Drosophila melanogaster: one gene and its partners. The protein of the gene in region 4 interacts with the protein of the main gene of each other region in a pairwise test. Each region holds a gene or a part of one and is shown on either strand. Other genes may lie near its edges. The genes, in order: Secp43, CG10959, ple and RpS30.

Region 1 (3,466 bases), on a different chromosome or scaffold from region 4:
TGAAGTGGCGCACGAGGCACTACTGGTGCTGCCGGGGAGGAAGCTGCGCAGTGGTCCACTCCATTGATCCCGTTCTCCAGTGGTGACGGTTCCGTTTCCGCCAACAGCTGCCGGAGCTGCAGTGTTGAATCCTCGCTCTCCGCATCCGAATCCGATTCAGAATCGGAGCCACCACTGGCGTCGCTGCTGCTACCGTCGCCATCGCTCTCGTCCTTCGATCCGTCCGAGCAGTTGTCGATGTCCGGCAGGAAGTCGCTATCCGAGGAACTCTCGCCCAAGTCAAAATCGAGCAGGGCCTGCGTAGTAATCTTCGGCTGCCGCGCTCGCTTCATGATTCAACGCTTATTTAGTCCGCAATTGTCTGCACAATCTCCGAAAGTCTCGGGCCAAGGCAGAAACTATCGACAGTCGATAGGCCGACATGGCGATGACACGGACAGAATAGTATTCCGTCTGTATATCGATAAAATACATCTGTTGTAAGGATATTAGGGATATTTTGTAAAAATGTATCCTTTATTTTGAATCCTTTGTTAAGAAATGTAGATTCAGGAGCATAAAAGTTTATAGCAGGCTCAAAAACAATAATACGCTACAAGTCAGGCTTTTATATTTTTTGCTTATATCTAAGCTGTAATTATAGTAAGCTATAAATATAGTAGATAAGTATCCTAAAAGACTTCCAGCTGCTCAATGGGCAGCCACTTAGAGCTCTCCAGAGCATCGTACAGACGGCGGTCGGCATCAATGGCCTCTCGGTTCAGTTTGTCCACATCCAGGACGAACTTGTGCTCCACCAGTCCGTTCTCATCCTCAGCTCCATTGGCGGCGGAAGCGGTCTGCTGCTGCTGCTGCTGCTCGTACTGGGCGCTGCGTTGTGCGCTCCAGGCCTCGGCGTGCTGGGCCAGAGTCTGCGGATTAGAGTGCGACTGCGACATGGCCTGCTGGTAGTATGCAGCCGCATCTGTGATCGAAGCACCGGCCTGCTCGTAGTAACCTTGCCAGGCCTGGTATCCCTGCCAATAGGTGCTGGTGGGGTCGTAGTACTGCGAGTAGTCGGTGCCACCTGCTGCAGTCATACCGCTTCCATATCCATAGTTTGTGTTGCCTTCGCCCACAGCACCACCCAACTCGGATTTGGGTTTGGGCACGGCATTGCAAATCTTTATGGGCTTGGTACCCAATCCGATGTACCCGTTCATGTCGTACAGCGCTGATTTCTGCTCATCCTCGATGCCAAATCGCACAAAGCCGTAACCCTTGGAAAACCCCAGGCTGTCCAAGATCACCTTGGCGGTTTTGATCGATGTGAACTTGCTGGAGAACACCTTGTACAGCTGATAGTCGTCCACGTCCGAGCTGAGGTCGCCCACCCAGACGCTAAATTCGCGTTCATTCCCGGGCAGCTTGTACGAGTTGCTGGCCGAGTTAAGACGGAATCGCACAATGGGATTGGTGCCCGGAATGGGCTTACCGTTTAGCTTGTGCATCGCGTCCAGCGCATGGTCATCGGATATGAAGTTGACGAAGCAGTAGCCGGCCGGTTCGCCCGTGTACTTGTTGCGCATCAGGCGCACCGTGGTGGGATCTTCGCCCATCTTCCGGAAAGCGGCGATTATGAAGTTCTCCGTCATGTAGGACTCCAGCTGAAATGGCCATGCGGGCTTAAAGGGTCATGTGTCTGGGGTAATGCACGTTGCTACTTACGCTTCCCATCCACAGTTGACAATGCACGGACGCCATAATTGTTCAAATACGTGTTCAATTGAATATTTTCCAGAGACAAATGATGTTTACCAAAACAAATGAGTGACTGGCCGTCAAGCATTTATCGGTATTTATCGATGTGGGCCAATCAAATGCTGACCTGGTGTCAGCCAAGACAATTGCCTTGGTTCTTGTCTTTGGAATGGATATTCAAACGATGCAACTAATGGTTCGCGTCTCTGGTGAGTTAGACGTTATTTTAGTTTGAGCCAAAAAGTAATTTGTTTTTAAAAAACAATAATACCAATATGTAATCCAAGACAGTTTGACAACCCTGCGTAGTACCGACATTTAAATAGACTTACTTCCTGAACATTTCAAAATCGCAAAAGTGGTGCCAAAATGGGTATTACTCTGTTCCGATTGGCCAGTTTTACTCCAAAACTGAAGGAGCTGCGAATCATTCTGGATCCCAAAGGAGACACTTCCAAGGGAGTCAGGTGAAATTGTCATTTTCCGCTTTTAAATTATATAATTTGCTAAAGCAGCGTTCCTTTACAGGGAATACGTGGAAAGGTTCTATCCAAACCTGAAGAAGAGCAATCCCGACCTGCCGATCCTCGTGCGCGAGTGCTCTGGCGTCCAGCCCCGCCTCTACGCCCGCTATGGTGAGTAGATTAGCATAATGTGCGCTGCTAGCTTCCCCCACATCGATTCCCATGTCCGCAGGCAACGGCAAGGAAGTGTCCCTCTCCCTGGCCAACCACGCTGCTCCTGACATACACAAAAACCTGGAAGCGGTTGGCAAATAGAACTTACGCTGGAAAACTATGTAGATTAGGCGCAAAATAAAGGCAAAGCCAGATGCTTTATGCACACATACGTATACGTGTATATGGGATAACATTTACACTTAAATTCATTTTCTTGGTAGGTACATCGATTTCCAATTACAGCAATAGCATCTTTTAGCTACAAAAAGTACGTCAGCCATTAAGTTCAATCCGTGAAGGCGGGCAGCCCGAACTGCTCCGGCTTGAAGTCCGCCAACGAGGCCAGCACTTGTGTGGCGTGCGAGGTCTTTTCCTGGGACAGTCGTGGGTCCGGCACCATCACCACCTGCATTCCGGCGCTGTTGGCAGCCGTCACGCCGTTCGGCGAGTCCTCGAACACCAGGCAGTCGGACGGTTTGGGCGGCACACCGAATCTGCCGGCGGCCACTAGGAAAATGTCGGGCGCAGGCTTGCCGTTGACCACCTCCTTGTCCGACGAACCGCACACCTTGTGGTTAAACAGGGAGAACAGCTCCCGATGTTGGGCCGTCTTCAGCTCGACCATGTCGGCGCCGGAGCTGGTGGCCAAGCAAAAGGGTACCTTGTTGGCGTGCAGGTGACGCAGCAGGCGCTCAGCACCTTGAACGGGGAAGGAAGCACACGATTAACAAACGGCTTTAATCACAGTAGGATAGTAATTGAAGCAGAAGTATTTATAGGGAGAAATGCCGATTAGTTTTCTGGTCGTGGTGCTAACCTTCCAGCAGGGGTACGTTGTGGAATCGCTCGTGGCACATTTGCGAGTACCGCTTGAGATAGTCTCCGGTTGTGATGGGCAGCTGGCACTCGGTGATGGCTATCTCTGCCGAGCGCTGGTCCGTGGTGCCCATTACCCGGAAACGCACTTCCTCCGGATACGGGCGGCCAAAGGAGGCGGCTATTTGCCGGGTGACCTCCTCGTATATCCTCTCCGTGTCTGAAACGTG
Region 2 (4,057 bases), on a different chromosome or scaffold from region 4:
CCTGCGAGAGCACATGGCCATGCATTCCACGGAGCGACCGCATGTGTGCAGCGTTTGCGGTGCGACCTTCTCCCGACAGAAAGGCCTCTACCACCACAAGTTCCTGCACGCGGACACCAAGCAGTTCGTGTGCAAGCTGTGCGGGAATGCCTATGCCCAGGCCGCCGGTCTCGCTGGACATATGCGCAAGCACCGGAACGACGAGCTCAACGGATAGGATCCGGATCACCGAGGTCGTAGTCTAAGTTGTACGTTTTGTATCTTCCAATTCCGACGTTTAAGTTCAGGAACTCAGGCATAGGCTATATATAGGATTACCATAGAAATCAATGGTTTTTTGCATTGCTCCGGCATGGAGCGGGTATCATGTGACTCTTCGGTCCTCGTTTCACGGGTTTCCATCGAATTTATTTGACACGCACTGTAAATAATATCCCTAGTTTTAGATAAACTGAAAGTTTGTTAATCTGTTTCGAGTGAACTTAGTTTGAGGCAAATTTAATTGGCTCGATTGTAAGTACTAAGACTAAACTACATTTCCATGAATTTTCTAAACTACCAACTCAAATAATAACTAAACTTTGTTAAGGTTTAAACTATACATTAAGCACACAATGCTTCCAAGAACCAAATCGAACGCCGTAATCTCGGCAACCGGATGTGGCTAGTATTCGAATGGTTAACTTTTTTGTATTGATAAATATACATAACATGAATTTGATTCGCAAAAGAGAGCCCGCGTTTAAAATTAGCCAAGCGATTTGGTACCTTTGACAGCAATTAATCGGTCGACTGCTGCTAAAGCGGCCAAATGCCAAGATGGTATTGGATGGGGTGCGTCTAACAATAGTGCCGACGATTAGATTTGGCACACGCGGACCGACCATGTCGGCGGAACGTCCAGCTGCCAGCTCCGATAATCGGCGACTTATGTGCGAGTTCTGCGGCTATCGGACGCGCATCTATTGGAATCTGCAGATCCATCGTCGGCGACACACCGGCGAAATGCCCTTCAGTTGCCAGCAATGCCAGGCGCGTTTCCCGGCCAGCTATCAGCTGAAAAGCCACTTGGAGCGGCACTTGGACGCCGGCGAGCGACGCCAGCGGCACATTTGCACCGACTGCAACGTGGGTTTCTCCAGTTCGCGGGCCCTGTACCATCACCGGACGCTCCACGAGGATGGGAAGCGCTTCAAGTGCTCCCAGTGCGACAAGTCGTTCGCTCAGGCGGCGGGCTACGCCCAACACAAGCGGATTCACCGCCAGAGGAACCAGCGAGCCACCGAAACCACGGATCTGAAGGATCTGCAGATCAAAAGAGTGGTTTCAAGTGTTTTTCATCGGCGCGAGTTTAACACTGCATAAAATTCAGTGGAGTAATTAACATTTTATTTTTGTGTCATATTCAAATTTAAAAAAACCGGGTAACCGATTCGTTATTTCAACTGAAGTGCCTTATAAATAAAACAGGCAGTATCACTTTCTAAGAGTCTGGTAACAAATTGGTAACACTTGAGAGGAGCATATTGCTTAGCTATTTAATATACATAGATCAAATATAATTAATTTTGAACTTAAAATTTATTTTGTAGTTTATTCGGTCAAACGGTTAGTTTGGTTTGAAACATAGCTGAATGGCTGTGAAATCAGTGCTGGTTTGAGTCTGCACTAAATGTCTATCGAAGTCGATCGAAATTTTGTTTACATATTTTATTTTAATTTTGGTAAATAATATTGCAACAATTTTAATGTAAATAAGAATCAGAAAATGTTGAGACACTGCCTCGCCAACGTCGACTACGTCCGCCTGCACGCCCAGCAGCAGTTGCGTCCCAAATGCGGCGAGATCTTCTACGAACCGGAGGCGAATAGATTCCAACTGGTCTGCCTGCTCTGCGACATGAAGCACTTTGGATTCGAGGACTTCGCCCGCCATATCCGTAATGTGCACTTCGACAAGCAGGGCCGACCGCTCACCAAGACGGTCACGGGACTGGGCAGACTAGCACGAGAGGAACAGGAGTTCCAAGGGGTCAGCGCAGAACCATTGGCTGTGGACAGCTTCAAGAAAGAGTACCTGCCCAACGAGGATGTTCTGTCGGAGGAGGAGGACGCGGAACAGGAGCTGGGACTGGAACAGGACGAGGGCAATCCACTACGCATCATGGTGCTCGGGGGTAAACAGTCCGTGGACGAGGAGACCATCGATACGATGTGGCAGCCGGATCATGACAGTTCCTCCGCATCCGTCAACGAGGGGTGCGCTCTGGAGGCTCTGTTGGGCGTGGAAAATCCGCAAGACTATCAACCGGATGAGGACGGGGAGGAGCACCAGTCTGTTTTTAAGGTAGAAAAACTGTAGTACGTGCACTTGAAGAAGGAAATCCAATATCTGAATATGTTTTTTCCCTGCAGAAGCAGCGCCAACCAAAGGACTACAACTGCCCACACTGCGACAGGAGGTACACGACGCAGAAATACCTAAACACCCACCTAAAGATGAGCCATCCGTTTCCGCAGGCCTTCAAGTGCGTCGACTGCAAAGCCACCTTCGATGTGGACCGAGCATTGGCCCAGCATCGTCGCAAGGAGCACACGGAGTTCGCCTGCCAGCTATGCGACAAGGTGTTCAAAAGCTCGCGATCCCTTCTTCGCCATGTGCAGGGTCACTCCGGCGCCAGGACATTCAAGTGTGAGCACGAGAACTGCGGCAAGTCGTTTGTCAACCAGCACAACCTCACCTCGCATCGGCGGGTCCACAGCGAGGAGCGGAACTACGTGTGCGAGCTGTGCGGCTATAGATCCCGCTACCGGGAGGCGTTGATCGTCCACCGGCGCACGCATACGGGCGAGAAACCCTTCCAGTGCCAGACCTGTGCCCGCCGCTTTGCCTCCAAGTCGCTGCTCAACGAGCACCAGGCCATGCATTCCACCGAGAAGCCCTACAAGTGCGACAAATGTGATTCGGCCTTCTCCCGCCCGAAGGCGCTCTATCACCACAAGCATCTGCATTTGGGCATCAAGAAGTTCAAGTGCAAGATCTGCGGTAATGCCTATGCCCAGGCGGCAGGTCTATCCGCTCATATGCGAGCGCACAAGCTCCAGGCGTCCGTAAATGCGACGGAGGGTGCCGAGGCGGAACCCATCGAGATGCTTTTCACCTACTGACCGAACTGAGTGGAAACCTCCTGTCGCCTTAAGCTCTATTTCCATATAACTCAAGATATTCAAGATACACCACAAACAATGTTCACTGTTCTAGATTTTATAGATAGCTTATCAATGTTTATGGACACCCGACTCTTTCGTTCCAACTTTTCACATATATATATATATCTGTAAATAGTATTAGACATTTTCCAATCTAAGGCCGCAAATGTTCTTTTTTAATTTAAGTGATGAAGCCTTCCATTTCTGTGTCTCAAAAATTAGTACCTACATATCAGTAGAAGTCGTGTGTAAGCTGTTATATCTGTTAGTTTAGCTAGTTTTAAGCCAAGACCTTGCTTCCGACTAGGACAAACCACGTATGTACAATAAATGTTCTGATACACGTTACTCCAACATGGACTTTCAAATGGGCGCACAAAGAAGCCAGTTTGTCTATAGCTCAACATTTATTTCGAACAGGAACTTATAACTAGTCGCATATTGGTTACACTTGGATGCATATACATGTATATATTTAGATTCAATTTGGTACAGCAGCTGGTAGTAAGCATAACACTGCGGTAACCAAGACATCCATGCTGGCAATCCCGACATGAGACATATGTACACACTTGGGGGATCACCGAATCCGTAACTTAACTATCCTAGAGATGCGATGCACAACACAAAAAAAAAAAAAAAAAACAAATCAGAAGAGAGGGAAAACAAAGCGAGACGGCATCTGTCCTGGACAAATGCATCCCCCAACAATAAGGTGCCACATGGCTTAGGCCCACACCCGTATGGTGTAGTCCCAACTGCCGGTGGATAGAGCGGTGCCATCGGGCGAGACCTGGACGCAGGACACCTTGTTCTCGTGCCCGTACAGCAGGCAGACCCTTTCCGA
Region 3 (7,717 bases), on a different chromosome or scaffold from region 4:
AAGTGCTATTTATTAATTATTACCCTCGATATTCTAAGTAAAAAGCTTTTCGATGTTGTCAAATGTATTTCCTAGCTCCCACAAACTTATTAACTCACCAATCCCACTCTATCGATCCAATTTGTATAATGGATCTATCAGATCGATAATTATGTTTTTGCTACTCCAGATGCCTTAATAACTTAATGCGGATCGAAGCAAATAGACGTATATGTGATGTGTTAGCTCATTATCGGGCTCGTTAGCTCAATCAAACGATTCGATCTACTAATTTGAACGGTCCGCATTAACATCGGCATTAGTTAGTTAGTTAGTTGCTAGATGCAGGCTGCAAGGATGACCGGATTGTTGGCAAGTACAAGTGCACATATGTAGATCAATGGCAAATTTGCTTCGATCTCGACATCGCCGCTAACTGAATTTGGTTAAAAGCTAACACGATTGAAAATAATGCTGCCACTGCCACTGCCACTGAAAATGTCATTCGAATTGGCGGCCCGAGTCCAATTTGAGAAGCGGCGGCAGCCTTGCCAACGTTATCAGCTTACAGGACAGGAATATATATATAATTATTTATATAGATTGCTATATGGTCGGTCTCGTAATCCGTCAGCTGCCATATGCAAATCCCAATCGCCAGATGTTTTGACGGGGCTTTCAATTATGCCATAGATATTGTAATGTGCCTGTACTTATCGCCCGGGCTTAGTTTAATGTGCTACATTTACGCATGCAAATTAGTTGTTAAATGTGCTTTTAAAATTTAATCGATATGGCTGGGTGCCACCTACTTACATCTCGGGCACGCACGCAGCCATGTGATCCGTACTTCCTGTTTACCATTACTTTGTTTTCCAGCTCACTTTCACTTGGTCCCTATACGATCCGCTTCAGCATCCGCTCTAGTTCTGACGCGATTCGATTGAGTCATTCAGGATCTAATGCGAATTGCTGGGTTCTAAAACTGAACGAGATCTTCGACTGTTGTTACACCTAGAAAAATGGAACGTATCATAAACGTAAGGTGCTTTTATTGTCTAAAACATTCTTAATAATTTTAACCTACTTCTTTAAAATAATTCTAGTGGTTAAAAACATTTCCCTAAAACAACTTACAGAGTAAGAATGTCATATATTTTCATTATTTTGCTCTGTGCACACACGGCGTATGCTTAACATTTGGCATGGACTAGCTTCGCTTTGTTTGGATTTGTTTTGGTTTTTTCTGTATGACCTGTTGAGGCTTTTCAAATGACTCCCGTTCGACTGACTGAATACTTTTGGGGTATTCTACCACCATTCCGATTGACGCGCACGCGCTAATGGTTAACCCCGCTTTTTAGCCAAGCTACAAGAGCAACAAAAACATGGCCAATGCGACGTTCTAGCCTGTTGCCGCACTTGAACTTGGTCGACCAAGTTGAGTCGAGTCAGGCCCCGCGATTCTCGACCCACTCAGCTGGCTGGCTAGCTGGTTAGCTGGCTGGTGAGAGGAAACCCCACGGCATCGGCATCTTGGCTTTAACCCAGCTACAGCTGGGCAACTACGTCACAGTCGCGTCATGCGAAAACCAGTCATCGTCGTTTGGTGAAGCAAACAATCGTCGGCAATCGGCCGAAACGTTCGTTAACTTGGCCGTCGGAATCGGAATCTGGGGGTATTTAAGCGGCGGCAACTCGACATGAAGCATGCATTGATTCGCTATCATTCGCCCTAAAGACTTGTGCCCAGCCTCAAGTAGTTTGCTGACTCTGTTTGTTGTAATACAATTTAGCTGACAAGGATAATACACATCACCACATCAGTTTCGAGTTCGCGAAAGGATCCAGCTAAAGTTCAACCGATCAACCATCTATATATCCCGCCGTGAATTCGAGAGTCGAGAGTTCTTGTCCAGCTCAATTCTAGACGCAAACAGTTCAGTACCAGGAGCGATTTTCTTGAAAAACAAAACCACCCAGCCAGATCGCCAATAAGCAGTGAAAGTGTCAACACATTTCGAGTGCTTATTGCAAATCAAACAAGAAAAGCGTAACCAAGCACATAAGCAAATAGTATTCTAAGTGTTTTTGCCAACACTTTGCGTAAATTTTTGTTGTTCACCCCAAACGAAAACAACCCAAACACACAAAAAAAAATGATGGCCGTTGCAGCAGCCCAAAAGAACCGCGAGATGTTCGCCATCAAGAAATCCTACAGTATTGAGGTGAGTCGAAAATCCAGCAAAACATACAATTTCCAAATCGAATTGTAAAAAAAAAGAAGCAAATGAGTGACTAGATTTGGTCTACGTGACTATCTAAAGGTTTTGTGTTTTCAAAAAAAAACCAGTTAACCGGCCAGTAGTCGAGCCCATTTTTGTGATCCCGCATTTCTTTTTCGCCAATTCAATTTGACCAAACTCAATCCTCGGTTGGCCATTAAGTCACACCTCTAAGAACAGGCGGCCCAAATCGAAAGGCCCAAATCGCCAACGGACACAACGGGTTGTGTGTTAAGTTATTATTTAACAAATAAGTGAAAGTGGCTGCCTTTGGGCCCCATGCACTTAGCCTGGCCGAAACAGTCGCGCCTCATTGTTGTTGACTCGTCTCTGTTTATGTTTATGCTGCGTCCGAGCAAAACAAAAAATATGAAATCAATATAAATGATTCAATGAGTTGGTCATCTTTCATCAGCCAAAGCGGTGGCCCAAAAAAAAAAACTGAAGAAAACAAACAAACAAAAAAAAAAAAAAACGAGCTGACAGTGAAAACTGCAAGTGATGGAAACCTTTTTCCCCCCATCAAGAAAAAGAAAGAAAAAAAACCTTTAACGATCGCCAGTTGCATTTTTTTCCCGCCAGAATCGCATGGGGATTTTCGATTTCTCAGTCACATATCATTTATCTTCGCACCTGCCCGCTTCGAAGCGGCGACATCGCATTAAATTACCATTCGTGGCTTTGAATCACAATCAATACAGTTCCATGAATAGCCAGCTTTATTCAAAGAAAAAGATCTGAAGACGGCGCTTTCACACACCATTTTATATAATATTTTCAAAATTGCGCAATACTCTGCTCAAAGTCACCACCCAAGCGTGGAGCCGAAGAAAGCCACCCTGGCTTGAAGGTCAAGGCAATCGTCTAATTTCCGCTCCACATCCTGCCAGTGTCACTAACACGGACTTCAATCTTTTCGCTTTCGTTTCCAGAATGGCTATCCATCCCGCCGTCGCAGCCTGGTGGATGATGCCCGTTTCGAGACCCTGGTGGTCAAGCAGACCAAACAAACCGTCCTCGAGGAGGCCCGCAGCAAGGCAAATGGTAAGTGGATAGGGTCCAACAAGTGGGTCACTAAAATAGCTCCAAAGAGGGTTTCTATTTGGGATCAAAAGGGAAATTTTGCAGCTAGGGCTTTACTTGTTGATTAAAAACTTAAAAAGTTGCAATTTTTATTTCATTTTATTCGTTTTGACATAGATTTGCGTTTTTTTCTTATTCATTTTAACCCTTTATTTATTATTTGCCTTCGTTTTTATTTTTATGATTTTAAAGACGATTCCCTGGAAGATTGCATTGTGCAGGCTCAGGAGCACATTCCCTCCGAGCAAGATGTGGAGCTCCAGGACGAGCATGCCAATCTGGAGAACCTGCCCTTGGAGGAATATGTTCCAGGTTAATATCCATTTCCATTTCAATTCCCATGCCAGTTACTCCTCTTTCTGAGCCTATTATCTTTGATTTGATTTTGATTATGATTTTCATGGGCTTTATTATTATTTTTATTTCATTCGCTTTTAGTTGAGGAGGATGTTGAGTTTGAGAGCGTTGAACAGGAGCAGTCGGAGTCGCAGTCGCAGGAGCCAGAAGGCAACCAACAGCCGACCAAGAACGGTGAGCAGGGGGTTCTAGAATCCAGCAGCCAACCATAAGTAGTACTTAACTTCTGAGAGGGGCTTTTGAAAAGCGTGCGACATTGATTTAAGTGCTTAATATGATAAAGTGCCAGGGCAGAGGAAAAGCACTCAGCCACACGGACAATTGTGAGTGGGCGCGCTCGCTCGCTCTCTCTCTCTCTCTCTCTCTCTCTGTGGAAATGTCGCATTTCCCTTTTTCATTTGTTACGCTCGACTTAATACAAGTACGAAATGCGTTTGCCTGGCAACCGTCTCACTGCCACTGCCACGTAGCTCGCTTATCGTTTACGTGACCCTAAGCCTTGGAAGATTGCATCCTTAACCATCACATTATCCCCGCTTTTTTTTGGCCCTTTTGCAGATTACGGTCTCACCGAGGACGAGATTTTGTTGGCCAATGCCGCCTCCGAATCCTCGGATGCCGAGGCTGCCATGCAGAGTGCCGCTTTGGTGGTCCGCCTCAAGGAGGGCATCTCCTCCTTGGGTCGCATCCTCAAGGCCATCGAAACCTTCCACGGCACCGTCCAGCATGTGGAGTCCCGTCAGTCGCGCGTGGAGGGCGTGGACCACGATGTCCTCATCAAGTTGGACATGACCCGTGGCAATCTGCTGCAGCTGATCCGCTCCCTCAGGCAGTCGGGCTCCTTCAGCAGCATGAATCTGATGGCCGACAATAACTTGAATGTCAAGGCTCCGTGGTTCCCCAAGCACGCCTCCGAATTGGATAACTGCAACCATCTGATGACCAAGTACGAGCCCGATTTGGACATGAACCACCCCGGATTCGCCGACAAGGTATACCGCCAGCGTCGCAAGGAAATTGCCGAGATCGCATTCGCCTACAAGTACGGAGACCCGATCCCATTCATCGACTACTCCGATGTGGAGGTCAAGACCTGGCGCTCGGTGTTCAAGACCGTTCAGGATCTGGCTCCCAAGCACGCCTGTGCCGAGTACCGGGCCGCCTTCCAGAAGCTCCAGGATGAGCAGATCTTCGTGGAGACCCGTCTGCCCCAGTTGCAGGAGATGTCCGACTTTCTGCGCAAGAACACCGGATTCTCTCTCCGTCCTGCCGCCGGTCTTTTGACTGCCCGGGACTTCCTTGCCTCCTTGGCCTTCCGCATCTTCCAGAGCACCCAGTATGTGCGCCACGTTAACTCACCATACCACACCCCCGAGCCGTAAGTATCTATCATCATATTTTACTAGGGGGTTAAAATCACTTCAAAAAGGGGAGAAAAAGGCTCTTTGTCCTAGCCTAATTGCATTTGCCTGCCTGCCTGCCGCCTGCCTCTGTGTGTGTGTGGGTGGTTGGGTTTCCTTTTCCGCTTTTCCCAAGCAACTTTTGTCGCCTGGAACACAGGCAAATTGGCTACAGGAACTGCGGCAGGCTGCCCAGCTCATTTAACCAGACTAATTGCCTTATGCCAGCACATTTTCCACACTTTTAACAAGCATTATTCTATGCCATTACAGCGACTCCATTCACGAGCTGCTGGGTCACATGCCCCTGCTGGCCGATCCCAGCTTCGCCCAGTTCTCGCAGGAGATTGGACTGGCCTCGCTGGGTGCCTCCGACGAAGAAATCGAGAAGCTGTCCACGGTGAGTTGATTTTCTAATTGAGTTGCAATGTAACGACCTTAGACTCAAGTGCAGCTATGACGCAGCTAGTTTTTTTTCGCAACCAAGATCATTGTTTAGTCACTGTCAAAGTCGAAGAGGAAAAGTGAACTTCAATGCCAGAATAATTTTTTTCTTTTTATTCATATAGTTTACAGATACAATTTAATGCATTTCAAAACACTTAATTGTGATTTTAAATAAGTTTTTAAGTTCAGAAAACCTTGATCTTATAAGTCATACAACTTCCTGCATTATCTGCCTTTGCTTTTATTTTCCTTCCTATTTACTCATTGGTTCCTTACCATTTCATTTCTACAGGTATACTGGTTCACTGTTGAGTTCGGTCTCTGCAAGGAACATGGTCAGATCAAGGCCTACGGTGCTGGACTCCTGAGCTCCTACGGTGAGCTGCTCCATGCCATCAGCGACAAGTGCGAGCACCGCGCCTTCGAGCCCGCATCCACCGCCGTGCAGCCCTACCAGGATCAGGAGTACCAGCCCATCTACTATGTGGCCGAGAGCTTCGAGGATGCCAAGGACAAGTTCCGTCGCTGGGTGAGCACCATGTCGCGTCCATTCGAGGTGCGTTTCAACCCGCACACCGAGCGCGTCGAGGTGCTGGACTCCGTCGACAAGCTGGAGACTCTGGTGCACCAGATGAACACGGAGATTTTGCATCTGACCAACGCCATCTCCAAGTTGCGACGCCCGTTCTAAGTGGATGGGGGGGAGATATATGTATGATATATAGAAGCACCCAAAAACATCGCCCAAAAAAACACCAGCCACCCCCACCACCCAAACATACACATACAGGTGCAACGGTCTCATTTATACAAATTAATTTTAAATTGACATACCGCACAATCCCTCGTACACGTAATCCTTAAACCAAAATTAAGGCATCGCGCATTATTTTTTATTTTTTGTTTATTGTTTTTTGTTTAATTTTTATTTAATTGTCATCGAAAAGTTGTAATTGTCGAATCGCGCACATGGTAAAAAACACAAAAATCAAGCATATTTATTTGTTGATCACCCGATACACCACCCAACCTGCATATTTATCACCGCAACTATTATTGGACCAAAAAATCTTTAGACGTTTAAGTGATGTGAAAACAAAGCCAAGCCAAGCCAAGCAAAGCAAAGCGAATTAAGTGAAGTGAAAAGCTGGGAAAGCAAAGTTCAGATACATCCGCACTTAGTAGGCAAAGTACCACACAAAAACCGATTGTATACTCAGACAAAAATTGTTTTTGTATTATTATTATCTTCATTTTGCCTCTCACAATATTTACCTAGACTATATAGACACGCGATATAGTATTCCCGGTATAGGAAGCTTCATTTAGAGAGAGTATTTCTAAACAAAAATGATATAGATACAACAATCGAGCAAGGAACAAATGGAAAACAAACAAAAAAAAAAACGGAAAAGATAAAAAATGAAATGGAAAACAAAACAGAATTTTCTTACATTGTACAATAACTGTAAACGACAATATTACTATTGTGTACTATTATTATTATTATCTATTATTATACTTATGACTATTACGTATTGTATTGTAGGTATGTAGAGTTTAAACATTATTATTTTATTTAAGTTTTGTGTATTAATAAAATTAAAAATGCAATTGAAAAATAATTACTCTTTGGTTTTTTCATTTGATTATCTTCTTTGGCAATTCGAAACTCTAAAGTCTGAATCTGTTTAGGGAACATTTTATGACATCAAAATGGAATATTTATTTAAAATTAATGAGTAGAATCGAGGAATATGATAAATATATTTATGGGTGAGAAGAAGTGAATCTCATGTGAACTAAAATCGAGCTATGTAGAAAATATTTCACAAATTTGATGAAATTATATAAAATAACGAAAAACCTTGGACCAATACATATGTATTATTATAAAGTAATTAAAATCAAAATATTTCAAAGTAAACAAAGTAAAACATTGGGATCAAGAATATTACATATTTATAGTTAACGTAGCATGGAATTTTATTGTTATTGTTCGATGTATTGTAGTTGCAATTGGATCGAAAGCCAACCAAGTGTTAACATTTCTGCAAGCAATTAGCCAAACTAATTACTAATTATATTCGCACATAAATCTATATATATAATCAACTTAAAGCGCAGTTGGTCCCCAAGCCAGGCTTCGTTGGTTCTGAAAAATTC
Region 4 (3,213 bases):
TGATTGACTTCACTGTTTTTTTTCTCATGCCAACATCACATAATGGGATCAAAAATGCCGACCCCACATATATGATAATACATGCATATGTATGTGTTGCTTAAAATGAAACGCATATGGGAAAATACGCACGAAAAGGTGAATGAAAATGTGGAAATTCGCGTGCCGGAAAAACAGCAAATGGCGAAATAAAGACGAGGGGCAGGCTAAGCCGATTTGGCAATTGTTGCCGTTGTTTTTATGGTCAAGAGTAATTTCTTTTTCCGCTGCCTTTGTGTGCAAACATTGTAAAATATCAGTTTACAAAGCGGCAGTTCCTCCAAACAGTGATTTTGGGGGAAATGATTTCGGATGCGTTTCCCTAGTCCATTTTCAGCCACAAGGTCAGACAAATGAGTTTACGCAAATCCAGGAGCTGTCTGCCCCTAATCCCGAGTAAATCCGATCATGGGCGTAGGGGAATGCCTGGGATATCTATCCAAATCGAAGTGGACAACATAAAGAGGGAAATGCACGCGACACTTTGCTATCTTAAATGAGCATCGAAAGGTGGTCGTTGTCGAAGGGTTGAGAGTAATATTAAATTTCGTATCTGGTATCGAAGGATCATTAATACATGCAACCCTAAATTATATATATACCTTTAATAGTGTATAGCCAAGGTCTTCTTTTCAAGACTCCGGATTTCCATCCAGTGCCCATCCACATCCTCGGAGGATCGTGACCAATCTAAGCCGCACTCATTAGACGTAGATAATTCGTGCAAATTTGTCAAATCGGCTTATGATTTGCATTCTATGAGCGAATGTTTATGTTACTAATCTAGTCCTGTTTGACAAACAATGCGGCAATATTTATTCAAATGGCGTAGAATAACACACAGCCCACAGTCCTCCAGGATTCCCTCTTCCGTCCACCCTGCGGATCAAACAAAGGACAAGCGCAGGCGCATGCTTATGGCCCATTTTCCGTAAATGGTTCATTTGTACTCGTAAGACGAGGCCCACAAAAACTTGGGAAAACGCTGAAGATGGTTGCGGGCGGACTAGTTTTTGGGCTCAACGTAATACCCATTTTGCGTAGATTGCGGTAATCGGGGTGTGCTGGCTTAGCGAGGCGTCAGCCAGACTGTCCTTTTGCGATCCTTTGAGGGAAAGGAGACAATGGCATGGCCAATGACCATAGCCCAAGCTTTATTCGTGTAATATTGCAGAAATATTATAAGATTTTCGGTCTACGAGTAATGATATAATACAAATTTAATTATTTTCAGGCTTTAAAAAGTAACTCTCATAACTCTTTTAATTAGCAGGAGGATTTAAAAAGTGATTGCCTAATAATCAAATGGAAACTAACCTCTCATATATGCCAAGTTATGAAACTTATCAGTGTACAGTTTTGATTGTTTACGGGTAAAGTTAGCACTTCTTGAAATATTATTATTTTTTAAATAAGTATTTAAATTTACGAACGCAGTATATTCCCTAAACTAATTAAAGTTATTATTTGCTTTGGGTTATCTTTGAAAATCATAAATTTAAAGAAAAACATTAATAATAGTGTTATCTGTCTGAAGTAAAGTATATTAAATATTATTAATACATAAGTACATCGATTTTTAAAGCTAACAAAGCCGTTATAAAATACTAAAGTTCGAGAATATACCAAACCCTTTGAACAGAATTCTGACTGGTTACCCTTTAAGTTATCGATAGAAGCAATCGATTGACCAGCCTAGCTACCCGTCCCTCAATATTATTGCCAGACATGCAAATGCAATTCACTAACGCCTGACACGATAGTTGCACAACAAAAATCGATAGGCCCATCGATAATTCTGCGCCATCTTTCTTTTTCGGGATCCGCACACCAAGTTAAGAGGTAATCGAGTGATTTTTGTCGAAATATAATAGAAAATAGCCCAGTTAAACCCAAAATACCTGTGAAATGTGTGTGCGAGCGATTGTCAAGTGTGTTGGACGCCAAATGCCAACTGCAAAACGACCGAAAAAGGGAAAAATTGACTGAAACTCGGCACACGTGTTTCGCCCTACAAGTCAATATGAATATCTTCACTAATAAATGCATGCGGCATGGTTACTTTGCAGAGCGAATCATCATGCAGCTGTTCGTCCGTGGACTAGAGACCATCGAGGCCCTGGAGGTTTCCCAGGATGCCACCATTGCCGGAGTCAAGGTGAGTCCCCCCAATGACTGATATACAAATAACATAACCTAATTGTGTGTTCCCCATCCTCGTCCATTGTGGCCATCGCGATCGTAGAACCAACTGGCCCAGATCCATGGATTCAACGCCGAGGAATTCAGCCTCGATTGCGAGGGCATCACTCTGGCCAACGAGACTCCCGTGACCGCCCTGAGCTCCTTTGAGCTGGACCTCAACATTCCCATGCTGGGAGGTAAGGTGCACGGTTCTCTGGCCCGTGCCGGCAAGGTCAAGGGACAGACGCCCAAGGTGGAGAAGCAGGAGAAGAAGAAGAAGAAGACCGGACGCGCCAAGCGCAGGATCCAGTACAACCGCCGGTTCGTCAACTTTGTGCAGGGCTTCGGCCGTCGTCGCGGCCCCAACGCCAACTCCACATAGAAGGATTTTGGATGAACAAGTGTCTACCTTTTACTCCAGATTGATATGATTGTTCATAAAGTAATTTCAAACCTTTAAACAAACGGTGTTGCGCATTTCAAATTGTTAAATCACGGCAAGCAATTGTTGGAGGAATCTCGTACCTTGATTATTTATAATTAACTATTAGAAATTTATAGATGTGCGGTAGTGCGCGGAGTAGTAATCAAGTGTAACGTTAATTATTTAAAGTGAAGCCTTAAAATGCCACACATTACGCAGCTGGTGCAATAGTTTTGCTAAAGTTACCTGCTTAAATTCGACCACCGCATATGGCGGGAAACCAGTTTACTAGTAGGGTAAATGAAATGGAGCTCTCAATTGATATATTTATATTTGATAGCTTATTTAAATGTTTATATCTATATACGATTTTCATCAGCGTTGTACATGCCAGTTACTGCTCATTCATTACACTATTCCATGGCAAGAGCTCTTAGGATTCCCCAGTGGTCAGTTGGTGAACTGACGCCGTTTTCGACTGGCCCGAAAGCGACGATACCAGAACTCGCCGCACACTATTAAAAGAGCCAACGTGAAGCCCAAGAGCAGGACCAGAAAGCACCCTT

Evidence for each region.
Region 1: the proteins of RpS30 (region 4) and Secp43 interact in a two-hybrid assay, tested with the Drosophila melanogaster proteins (one large-scale study listed by BioGRID).
Region 2: the proteins of RpS30 (region 4) and CG10959 interact in a two-hybrid assay, tested with the Drosophila melanogaster proteins (one large-scale study listed by BioGRID).
Region 3: the proteins of RpS30 (region 4) and ple interact in a two-hybrid assay, tested with the Drosophila melanogaster proteins (one large-scale study listed by BioGRID).

The regions. Positions count from the first base shown.
Region 1 is NT_033779.5:4,452,620-4,456,085, forward strand, and holds Secp43 (tRNA selenocysteine associated protein), read right to left. Parts: upstream 1,835-3,466; 5' UTR 1,744-1,834; coding exon 1,708-1,743; intron 1,647-1,707; coding exon 672-1,646; 3' UTR 550-671; downstream 1-549. Other genes in the region: CG15439 (uncharacterized protein), read right to left, coding at 1-332; ND-B8 (NADH dehydrogenase (ubiquinone) B8 subunit), read left to right, coding at 2,110-2,207, 2,269-2,375, 2,437-2,519; Gs1l (GS1-like), read right to left, coding at 2,707-3,119.
Region 2 is NC_004354.4:8,147,130-8,151,186, forward strand, and holds CG10959 (uncharacterized protein), read left to right. Parts: upstream 1-1,653; 5' UTR 1,654-1,768; coding exon 1,769-2,347; intron 2,348-2,415; coding exon 2,416-3,168; 3' UTR 3,169-3,557; downstream 3,558-4,057. Other genes in the region: CG2129 (uncharacterized protein), read left to right, coding at 1-217; CG15336 (uncharacterized protein), read left to right, coding at 886-1,365; Gbeta5 (G protein beta subunit 5), read right to left, coding at 3,938-4,057.
Region 3 is NT_037436.4:6,713,495-6,721,211, reverse strand, and holds the start of ple (pale), read left to right. Parts: upstream 1-1,686; 5' UTR 1,687-2,138; coding exon 2,139-2,207; intron 2,208-3,196; coding exon 3,197-3,308; intron 3,309-3,539; coding exon 3,540-3,659; intron 3,660-3,785; coding exon 3,786-3,878; intron 3,879-4,262; coding exon 4,263-5,082; intron 5,083-5,377; coding exon 5,378-5,504; intron 5,505-5,843; coding exon 5,844-6,242; 3' UTR 6,243-7,717. UniProt on the Drosophila melanogaster protein: Plays an important role in the physiology of adrenergic neurons.
Region 4 is NT_033777.3:20,848,747-20,851,959, forward strand, and holds RpS30 (ribosomal protein S30), read left to right. Parts: upstream 1-1,769; 5' UTR 1,770-1,881; intron 1,882-2,087; exon of another isoform or gene 2,088-2,108; 5' UTR 2,109-2,119; coding exon 2,120-2,197; intron 2,198-2,284; coding exon 2,285-2,605; 3' UTR 2,606-2,681; downstream 2,682-3,213.